Linked DNA regions of Bombyx mori. The protein of the gene in region 2 purifies or fractionates together with the protein of the main gene of each other region. This does not show direct contact. Links are inferred from orthologs where the notes say so. Each region holds a gene or a part of one and is shown on either strand. Other genes may lie near its edges.

Evidence for each region.
Region 1: the proteins of U2 snRNP-associated SURP motif-containing protein (region 2) and calcium homeostasis endoplasmic reticulum protein purify together in Homo sapiens (affinity purification with mass spectrometry; 4 studies listed by BioGRID and IntAct, with this or other methods). This does not show direct contact. The link is inferred for Bombyx mori from reciprocal best matches to the Homo sapiens genes U2SURP and CHERP.
Region 3: the proteins of U2 snRNP-associated SURP motif-containing protein (region 2) and U2 small nuclear ribonucleoprotein auxiliary factor 2 purify together in Homo sapiens (affinity purification with mass spectrometry; 3 studies listed by BioGRID and IntAct, counting the BioPlex papers as one, with this or other methods). This does not show direct contact. The link is inferred for Bombyx mori from reciprocal best matches to the Homo sapiens genes U2SURP and U2AF2.

The regions. Positions count from the first base shown.
Region 1 is NC_085128.1:5,793,445-5,797,792, forward strand, and holds the start of calcium homeostasis endoplasmic reticulum protein, read left to right. Parts: upstream 1-1,431; 5' UTR 1,432-1,732; coding exon 1,733-1,757; intron 1,758-1,843; coding exon 1,844-2,014; intron 2,015-2,114; coding exon 2,115-2,401; intron 2,402-3,309; coding exon 3,310-3,472; intron 3,473-3,752; coding exon 3,753-3,900; intron 3,901-4,201; coding exon 4,202-4,278; intron 4,279-4,348. UniProt on the Homo sapiens protein: Involved in calcium homeostasis, growth and proliferation.
Region 2 is NC_085111.1:15,849,587-15,852,313, reverse strand, and holds part of U2 snRNP-associated SURP motif-containing protein, read left to right. Parts: intron 1-289; coding exon 290-491; intron 492-828; coding exon 829-1,006; intron 1,007-1,835; coding exon 1,836-1,992; intron 1,993-2,510; coding exon 2,511-2,587; intron 2,588-2,727.
Region 3 is NC_085123.1:10,727,555-10,731,806, forward strand, and holds the start of U2 small nuclear ribonucleoprotein auxiliary factor 2, read left to right. Parts: upstream 1-1,416; 5' UTR 1,417-1,541; coding exon 1,542-1,557; intron 1,558-1,631; coding exon 1,632-2,204; intron 2,205-2,480; coding exon 2,481-2,563; intron 2,564-3,637; coding exon 3,638-3,760; intron 3,761-3,870; coding exon 3,871-3,958; intron 3,959-4,045; coding exon 4,046-4,199; intron 4,200-4,252. UniProt on the Homo sapiens protein: Plays a role in pre-mRNA splicing and 3'-end processing. By recruiting PRPF19 and the PRP19C/Prp19 complex/NTC/Nineteen complex to the RNA polymerase II C-terminal domain (CTD), and thereby pre-mRNA, may couple transcription to splicing.

The DNA.
Region 1 (4,348 bases), on a different chromosome or scaffold from region 2:
CGTGAGGAGAGTGACATCAAGAGGAGAGTACATCAAATTCTTCAACTACTGATTAATCTGATTGCGAGAGTAATTAACAAGATTTCACGTTCATTTTGTTCAATAAGTATCAGTACATTAAATTAAATTCATACGTGATCAATTGTTTTTTTTTTATTTCAAGTACATAATACCCTCATATTTTATAATTTACACTCGCACGGAGGCTTAAGATGTGTTAGTATCGATAGCGCAATATCGACTAATTACAACACTAGCTCATTACGTCAACATTCCTTTAAAAAAATCCTCGGAGCTCGCGCGCGGACTGTAGATAGTGTAAATTATTTACTGTTGAAAAAATCATAATGGGGTCGTTTTATTCACTTTTTTGTTTTTTCACTTGTAATCGCAGAGATAATTTAATCTCTGCGGTAACAAGTGAAAAAACCACTTTAACTACTCTCCACCTTTAACAATAATACTAACTCGGGGGAGTTCTTCACTGGCGTGGCTATCGTAGAGTGTACACTAATACGTGGCTTTTGTCACCTTACATCGTTTACAATTTAATAGGTCCTTACCTTATAACTTATCTTTTGCAAACACTGCTCATTTAAATCATCAAACACTGCCCATTTGAATTGTCGAACACTGCCCAATTGTGTGGCAATCAATTTTAAATACAAATGAATTTAATTAAAAAAATATGGAAGTCTATTTTCAAAATCAGTCATTTGTCTATTTAATAGTGTTTTGCTTTCATTATATTTTGGTATGTTTTTAATCAATATGGACGCGACTAAAAATACATAAAACTACGGAACACTAGTTCCGTCGCGGTAGCAATGTCGCACAAACTGATCCCAACATTAATGATGCAAACAAATTCATGGTCACTATATGGTGGTGTATTACTGGTATAATTCAACATAGCTTCTTACCAAATGGCACCGGAATTACTGCGGATGTGAACTGGACACAAAGATGAAGAAACTCGGGAATCTCTTGCCAGCCTTAGTTAACTGCACGACCGCGTTGCTCCTACACGACAACGCTCGACTTCATACAGCACAACAAATAGTGTCTAAGCTACAAGAACTGGAGTTAGAAGTTGTGCATCATCCATCATACTCACCAGACCTTGCGCCTACAGACATCTATTTTTACCAAGGTTTGGAAAAAATATCAATTCCCGAGATGACAATGAGATGAGTACAAAATGCCTTTGAATAGTTTATTCACTCCCGTATATTGACATGGGTGAATTTGTTTGATAAAAATAAAAACAAAATAATAAAAATATAAATTATAATTTTCTATATGTTAAACAGCAATTTTGTAGGTATAAACCAAATATTTTGTAAAAATATAACCATAACATTATTACCGTACACATACAAGATCGTCAATGCGCTAGGAGTTCAATAGTGACCATAGACACGACACATAATATTTATGAAACACTGACAGCATAGAGTAAGATTATATATACTGACAGTTGTAAGCATAGATTATACACCTAGTATTTGAGTCTAGTAATAAAATATTAAAGCCAACAATTTACAAATGGCCGATGTGTTTTAATCATATACAGCAATATATAAATCGCATAAAGAATTAAAATAGTGATAACATCTCTTTTAGATCGTTATTTTCTGGTAAAATGACATTAAAATGTCGTTAAAGTAATAATAGTCTATTAGTTTAAGACACTAAGCTACATCAAGCAATAACCTCGTAAACGATAAAAATGGAACTGCCACAGCCACCGCAAGGTACCGCACACACATAACAATATATTTGCATTCAAGTAAATCCAGTTATAAATAAACATTAATTACTATAAAATATATATTTTCAGATCAAGATCTCCGCAACATAATCGACAAATTAGCGCAATTCGTCGCAAGAAATGGACCGGAATTTGAGAAGATGACCAAGAACAAACAAAAAAATAACCCAAAATTTAGTTTCCTGTATGGCGGCGAGTACTTCAACTACTATCAATACAAAGTGACGACAGAACAAGCAAGTAAGCATAACAAAACTGATGACAGAAGCTATCCACCATAATCAATGATAGCTGATACGTTTTGTTTTAACCAATCTAAGTGAACCTCCGCTGTTTATAGTTCTAAAGCAAACGGCCGGTGGGCAGGCGGCATCCGCTCCCGCCGGGGCCTATATGGCACAGAACAGGCAATATGTAATGCCCCAACAGGCCAGCGCGACGCCTGCTCAGCTGGGTCTAGCGGCCTCGATGGCGGCGGCACCTGTACTTCAGCAGTGGCTTGCAGTCAACTCTGCCCCGCCTCCCCTTCCTCAGCACCCACAAGAAATCGACAGCATCACAACACAGATCAATGTGCTGAAAGAACAGATTACTCAGTCAGAAAATAATCTAAATGCTCAACATGCTGTAAGTATGTACAGTAAATTAGTAAAAACATGCGTATGATCTTAATTGCTTGGTGGTGTGATGTAATGATAGTGTTTCTGTTTGATTAAGTAAGTTTACATCAAGCCAAACAAGTCTTCCCACCTGTAAAATAGAGGTCTAGAAGGAAAACATATTTTGTTACTAAAGATTATTGTTTTTGATACCATTTTTTTTTGCATTGTAGTTTATAAATTGAATTTATTAAGACTACATTATTATGTATACTATTATTATGACTACAGTACCTACTCATGCAAAAGTAGTTGGGCATAGATTAGATTTTTGTTTTTGCATTACCTACATTAAAAGCGGGGTATTAACATAATAAGCTATCATAGCCTTATGGATAATACGCCCAAGTGCATTCATATTGAATGAGATGATTGTGCTGGGATCAAACCATTTTTCAAAAAATACCACATGTTCACACAGTACCTCTATGGTCAAGGAATAACATTGTATTATAAACATAAAATTACCAGTAGTATTATTTTTATTAGTCATTATTAGCCATACTCTTTCTACTAATTTCTGCTGCAAGAGTTTCTGGTTTTAATGATGTGATAGCTATTACCTCATGTATCAAGGTGGCTGGTAGGATATATTATTATATTATGGTTACCATTTAATGCCAGTTCATTCACCTATTTAAGGCAATAAGAAATGTACACTGAAATAACTTGATATATTTTATTGAGACACTATTTGGATATTTTGTTTAAAGAAAACAAATAAGTTAATTATTTATATAGATCGTATATATGCAGTAACTATTGGAATTTAGAAATTCAAACTAAGTTTTGAGATTTGTACACATTGTTTATTTTCCAATATTTCATATGAAACACCCCAATAAGTTCCTATGAATTAAATAATATGCATTCTAGGTTTTGATACAACAGCAGCAAGTGAAGATCAATGAGCTTGTCAGCAAGGCACAGATGGAGTCTTTACAGATAATGGCTGATGAGAACAACATCAATCTTAGTGAACTTGACAATATCCTACAGCCAATAATAGACAGTTGCACTAAGGACAGTATTTCTTCAGGTACTTTTTAAATTCAACTGAATAACTTATGACTCAACTGTATACTCTACATTCTTGAATATTGTATGTAATATTTAATCAATCCATATACAATTATATTATTTTCGTTTTTAAATCTTAGCTAATATTTTGCAATTTTTTTTTGTCTATTCAGACTGACCAAACATCATGTTCCCAAACTCAAGAAATACTCGAAATACTGCTAACTGCTACTGTGGGAACAAACAGTTTTATTTTTTGTATTTTTGAATCTGTATTTTATTTTTACATGTAACATTAGGAAAGGGTTGGATACTTCAACATGCTACATCCCATGATGCTGGCAAAGTCATATCTCAACACCTGCTTAGAAAAGTCACTCAAACTGGTGCTGCTTTTACTCAGAAACTACACATCATTTACCTTGTAAATGATGTACTCCATCATTGGTTAGTACCAAAAACAAATTTGATATTTAAAGTGTACATTTAGAATGGTTTGGGTAATTATTGATTGGTTGTGCTTAATAAACGATTATGTTTAAATATTGTAAAGTGTATTTGTCATTATTTGTGGGATATTGAATAGGATATAAAATATATCTAGTAATAATTAAAACAAATACTAAATGATAATGTATTTTTTTTTGTACTATGCTATTAAGCAAAACATAAACATATTTTAATAAAGTATTGTGTCCCTTTTTTATTGTCAATTCGGTGTCTATGATACTATTATTCCTAATTACAGTGCACGCAAAAACGCAGAAGATCTCAAGAAAAATTTGGAAAATGTGGTGGTTCCAATGTTTTGCAATGCCAGTATAGGTAACTTATTTATAATAATGCCCTCGAGATTTAGGTTTGTCTTTATTGTCGAATGCAAATTCTTATCTGC
Region 2 (2,727 bases):
TCTTTATTTACAATATGAAAAGATACTTAAAAGTCTAATATCTGTAAAAAAAATAAAATAAAATAATAATGCTAATATTTTATCTCATAAAAACTTTACATATTATTATACTAATTTTTAAATTATTAAATTAGTCAAATTTTATTAATAAATTCTATTCCATATTTAAACACGAGCTTATTTTTATTATAAAAGAATGGATAAATTAAAAAAAAAACTTGGTTCTTGTTCGTTCATATACAGACACTATTGTAATGTTCATACATGGTAATGAGTTGTGGTTGTACAGGAGCGTCGTCCCTCGACCGAGGCGGGTGCGGGCGGCGCCGGCGCGGTGGAGGAGGCGGTGTCCCCGCGCTCCGACGCGTCCTCCTCGTCGTGGGAGGGCGGCGCCCGGGGCCCGCTGGACGGCGCCGCCCTGCGCCGCCTCGCCGCCGGCCGGGAGCCGCACGCGCCCGCGCTGCCGCCGCCGGACATCGACGGCGTGCCCGGTATGTACACGCGCCCACATTAACTCGACGTGGTGTTTGCGCACGTTCATTTTAGAAACTATTACCGGTGTTAGGACCTCTTGTGGGTCCTCGCGGGTAGGTATCACCGCCCTGCCTATTTCTGCCGTGAAGCAGTAATGCGTTTCGGTTTGAAGGGCGGGGCAGCCGTTGTAACTATACTGAGATCTTAGAATTTATATCTCAATGTGGGTGACGCATTTACGTTGTAGATGTCTATGGGCTCCAGTAACCACTTAACACCAGGTGGGCTGTGAGCTCGTCCACCCATCTAAGCAATAAATAAAAAAATATTATTTTTGATTTGTATTGTTCGCAGTGGATGAAGATATTGACGGCGTGCCGCTGGAGCCGGACAGCGAGGAGGGCGCGGGGCAGGGCGGGTTCGTGCCGTCCCGCTGGGAGAGCGTGGAGCCCGCCGCGCCGCACACCCCGCCCCCGCCCGCACTGGACGAGCGCGCCGCCCCGCCCCCCGCGCCCGCGCCCGCACCCGACACGTACGCACTATTCGCTTATATTCCAAGATATAGATACAATATAGTATTAAATATCCTCCCTTCGCTTCGGAAACATTACATATATGTATATGTATTTCACTGGAATGGTACACCGCGCGTAGTTCGTTTCCAAATGATTCTTGTCCACCTGATGGTTGTCTGGAAGAGATCGCTCTTAGCGATAAGACCGCCAATTGTACTTTTTTGTTTTTAATGTATTGCACTGTTTATTTGTTTTTTGGTGTACAATAAAGAATACTTTCTCTCTCTCTCTCTCTCTCCCTCTCTCTCTCTCTCTCTCTCTCTCTCTCTCTCTCTCTCTCTCTCTCCCCCCCCCCCTCCCTCCCCCGATCCCTCCGATCCCCGCAGTTATTGTTGTACCGCGGGTGACGCCGTGGGGCGAAGCTAGCCTAAAAAAGCAGCCTAAGCTACTCCTTATATCGTCAGCTACCTATCAGTAAAAGTCTCATCAAAATCGGTCCAGCTGTCCCAGAGATTAGCCGGAACAAACAGACAGACCGACAGACAGACAAAAATTGTAAAAAATGTCATTTTGGCGTATGTACCGTATATATATTCATATGAATGTAGTGAAAAGCGGTTATTTCAGTATTATAAACAGGCACTCCAATTTTATTTATATGTATAAATATGGAGCAGTACATAGATGTACCTACATTACGTTGTACGGAGTGAAACGATTCCAAAGAAAGTACATATAAAGTGATTTCTTAATAAGCATAAAATATCACACAACTTGTAGAAAGGTTATCAGATTTTGACCGCGATAACTTTACGAAACTAAGTTCGTTGAGGGGTCGGGGGGCAGGTCGGAGGAGCAGACGCTGAAGCGCGAGACGCTGCGCGAGATCGAGGTGCGCGTGCTGAAGTACGCCGACGAGCTGGAGGGCGGAGCCCGCGCGCCGCGCCCCGGCCTCGCGCCCGCGCAGCAGATACAGCACTACCGACGGAAACTCATCAAGAAGGTACCCTACACTACACTACACTACTCACACGATCTTCAATTTATAACGAAAAGCGCTTTTATTAAGTACTAGTGGTCCCGCAGTGGGGGAGGGTGATGGGAGATATGTGCTCCACACTAAACGCTTCATTTTCCCCCTTTGCCTCTTCATGAGTTCTGTCTCATGCGAGGTTTGGAGCCAAGACTACACTATAGAAAAATATTAATAATGACAAACAATATGTAATCTATTCTCAATTTGACCACAGACGTCAAGAACAAAAGTTTGACAGTAAATAAATAGTATGCATGCTTGTGTGCGTCAAATACATGGTAGTGTGTATAATGCTTTTTTTTATTGATTTAATGTATAATATTTTAGAGGTATAATTTAAAAAAATATTAGCATTGTGCACTTCTTCTCTATATTCTCTATAAGTGTGGAAAATTTCATACTCCTGCGTCCGCGAAATTCTCGTAAAAAGGGGTACAAAGTTTTTCCTTCACGTATTAATATATGGTATTCCTACACGATTCCAGGCGCTGCGCGAGGTGCGGGAGGCGAGTGCTAGAGAGTCGCCCGAACAGAGACGAGTCACTGAGGATGATGCGTACTCGTGAGTATTGCGAACAATGCGCTATATTTTAACCCTTTGACTACCATGTAGGTCACCAGTGCCCTACGCGGTGCACTAAAATAATTATGTCAATTGCTGTTACTAATGCGCCAGGATTAACTTTGCCTTCTTTTGTTTTT
Region 3 (4,252 bases), on a different chromosome or scaffold from region 2:
TGGGTGGAGAAAGTTTGGTACCTAGGTGTCCGAAAACAGGTGTTTTATCTTTACGACCTTGTTCAACTCTCGAAGATCGAAAATTGGACGCATTGATCCGTCGCTTTTCTTCCGCAGAAAAAGGTAGTTTTTTTTTTTTTTTTTTTTTTTTTTTTGTTGTTTTTTTTTTTTTTTTTACGGTATTTGGTAACCATACATGGTTTACAAATTATTACAATTTTGGTGGCACTCAGTGCCTCAGTGCCGTCGGTGTCTTCAATTGCCCCCCTCTGGATTGTGCCAGATGTTACGGACTATGATTGTTTATAATGTTTGGCTTACCTTTTGTACGAGATCGTGACAAATAGGATTGTAGCCCTCCGAGGGACTGAATAGATTTCAATTTACTATTATCAAACAAAAATTCCTCAATGAGTGGCGCGTTGGCAACAGGATACTTTGTTAGAGACCACGGAAATTAAACTTTGACGTCTTATTTCTATACATACGGCCCTTTTTTCCGTATACAATTTAAAACGCTTTTTACGGGTAACTTGTACGACGGAGACGATTTGTCAAAGTTTTCAGTAATTATGTTACAAAGATTATTAGTTTAAATCTGTTGTGTTTTTGTCAAAATTTCCGTATTGACGAGATCAATTTGTTTACAACAATTTTCGTTACATTCAATTGTTACACACAGTTGATGCATTATTAGATTTACAACGTCACTGACCTGGTGGGATAACGAGCCGATTCGAAGATCGACCGTTACCTTTGAATCCCGTCGTTTCTTACGCAGAGACTCCTTTTGTTCTTTTTCGCTTGACGAGCTGTTCGAACGCGAGGCGTCTCCATCGCGTCTCGCCTGGACATCTTCCCTCTCGGAAATTATGGAGCTTGACTCAACATCACCTCCAACAGATGACGCGTGATTCATGGCGTCCGATGATAGGATTGGTAAATAATACTCGTAATGATTGCAAAATAACACTCATAGAAACACAAAATAAATATTTTTTGCAATTAATAAGAAGTCGAATAAATATTTGTGGACTTGCGACTTCACAGTACGAAAGTACACAACGCTATGAAGATCAAAGATGGCTGCGCTCCCTTTATACTTGCTGGCAGCACCTAGCGGCTAAAGATGGAACTAAATTGACTGTCTATGGTTGGACATAGACAAGGAATCTAAGCTAAGTACACACTGCTTCTTCATAATACAATGCTGTATGTTTTCCAAAGGCACATCAATGATTAATTAGCTATCATTATTACACATTTATACTTGAGGAAACACCAGTTCTGCGTTCGCGTCCGAAATTTGTCCTAGGGCAAGCATAGGATTTTAGTGATGATTACGTATCAGGAAATTCACTATAGCATCATTAGCCAAAAGTCGAGTAACCAACGTCCGTATAAAAAAATAACAGACGCCATTTCACGGAAACTGACTTAGATTTTATGTTGATGCCAACGCTAATTATACTAATAACGCTGAAGCGCCTTTATTACTATCTCAAGAAATAGTTACTGTATTACATATTTCCGTAAATAAGATGGGGGAAGATAAAGGTAAGTAGTTCACATATCTATCTTGTAAAGTTTTGAAGTGAGGTTATAAAATAAAATGCTCACAAATATTACAGACCGCCGACGAAGGTCTCGATCCCGAGAAAGAAAACGTTCTAGATCTCGATCTAGAGAACGAAGAGAAAAAAGAAAAAGCAGATCAAGATCGCCCAATAAACGTTCACGTAGACGTAAGCCTTCGCTTTACTGGGATGTACCGCCGCCGGGATTCGAGCATATCACGCCATTACAATACAAGGCGATGCAAGCGGCGGGTCAGATTCCTGCCAATATTGTCGCCGACACACCACAAGCTGCCGTGCCGGTGGTGGGTTCGACTATAACACGTCAAGCGCGAAGGTTATATGTCGGCAACATACCCTTTGGCGTCACCGAAGAAGAAACAATGGAGTTTTTCAATCAACAAATGCATCTATCGGGCCTGGCCCAGGCCGCCGGCAACCCTGTTTTGGCTTGCCAGATTAATTTAGATAAAAATTTTGCATTCCTTGAATTCAGATCAATTGATGAAACGACACAGGCAATGGCTTTTGACGGTATTAATTTTAAAGGGCAAAGCTTAAAGATTCGACGTCCACATGACTACCAGCCTATGCCAGGCACTGAAAACCCAGCAATAAATGTGCCTGGTAAGTAATTATGATATTGTGATATTGTTATTACAAACAACTTTTCTTATAAAAATACATTTAAACTACATTAGAAGATACTATAGATTTATCTATCAAGTAATGAGTCTTGAACTCGATTGAAAGTGCTATTTTTTATTAAGAAAATGCAATATTTAAAATAAACTGAATTTTGTTGTTATAATTCTACAGCTCTTTTTAAACTCTTGAAACAGCATTAATTACAACTAAAATACTCATTACTAGTGTCTTCATTCAAATATTATTTTGTTACAGCTGGTGTTATTAGCACTGTTGTACCTGATTCCCCACACAAGATCTTTATAGGGGGATTGCCTAATTATCTAAATGAGGACCAAGTAAGTTCCTTGTTTTATCTATTAAAATTTATAGTTGAAATTAAGCATTCAAGAAACCATAATTTAATCACATCATGATCAAAATCAAGTTTGGAGTTTTTTAAAGCTACACATGGTTTTTGGATTAAAGTAGAGGTACTTATTTTCTGTATTTTTGATGTGATCAAATTAAGCTATTATTTATAAGTACTACTTACCAAAAAGTTTTTATTTTTAAACCAAATGAAAACTCAATTCACATAAATTATGGTTGATTTATGTTTCCCACTAAAAGAAACCTTTTGATAATAAAAAAATGGTTATATTATACAACATTCTTCTCTCATTGTGATTTGTAGAGTTGTGTGTTACAGGTTTTGACCAGACAAAATGGAAATAATAATTATGTTGGTTATGATAAACATAGAATTCTCTTAGATCGACAAATTCAAGTATTTTGGACTATAATAGTTATTTCAAAATCCTACTTTAGGTAATGTTAGGACATTAAAAGAACCATGAGTTTGTTCGTTCCCAGTAGGTAGTTATAGCGTACTAGATGCCGCAACAATTTCAGGCCGAGATTCAACAGTTGACAGGACTTAGGCCCCGGTGACGCCAGCAGTGAGCCGCGTTATGTTTTGGTCCGTTTCAGGTATTTTCAGGTACCCGTAGCGTGGACGAGCGTGTGCGTACCACGCTCGGATGTTCTCAAACAACTCACTGATATAGTTTGCTTTCTGCCCTCCCTAGCTTAGATTTGGCACATTCGCGGCCCGCGTGTCACTGTTGTCTCTCATTCTCATCTATACGTCTTGTACTTGAACGAGACATCGGCACTTCAAGGCAAGTCTCTTCCATTCACATCTGATTCTAACATGCGGCTAGACACAGGTCAGATAGCATAATTCACTTATGTAATTTGCTGCATTTTGATGAACAGATTTAATGGGAACACAACAATTCAAACATACAATACAAAAAACATTAGCATTAGAAATGTCTATGCTGATCATTATGAATATGTAACGTAAATTAATACAATGCTGGGAATTAAAAGATTATTATTTGCTCACTAATTTTGTCATGAAACAGGTAAAGGAATTACTCATGTCATTTGGTCAACTCCGGGCCTTCAATTTGGTGAAAGACTCTTCAACTGGGTTGAGCAAAGGCTATGCTTTTGCTGAATATGTCGACATTTCTATGACAGATCAGGTAAATAATCATTATGTCACCCAATTTATTAATTTATTGGCTTTTGCATAGTTAAGGCCAATTTAATTTTTAAAAAAACTTTAAATCATAAATTAATTTTATTTTCACAGGCTATTGCAGGTTTAAATGGAATGCAACTTGGAGATAAAAAGTTGATTGTGCAACGTGCCAGTATAGGCGCAAAGAATTCAACTTTAGGTAAATTTTAATACAGAATATGACCTATGTTTTAGTTTTAGAATAGAAATTATAAAAGATTTTAAATAGAAATGGGATACTTTTCAGCACTGACCGGTGCAGCTCCAGTGCAAATCCAAGTGGCAGGTTTGACCTTGGCTGGAGCAGGTCCACCTACTGAAGTATTGTGCCTTCTTAACATGGTAACACCTGATGAATTGCGTGATGAAGAGGAGTATGAAGATATCCTTGAAGATATAAAGTAAGTAACATTTTGTACATGTCACACACACAAGCACTAATACATGAAATGCA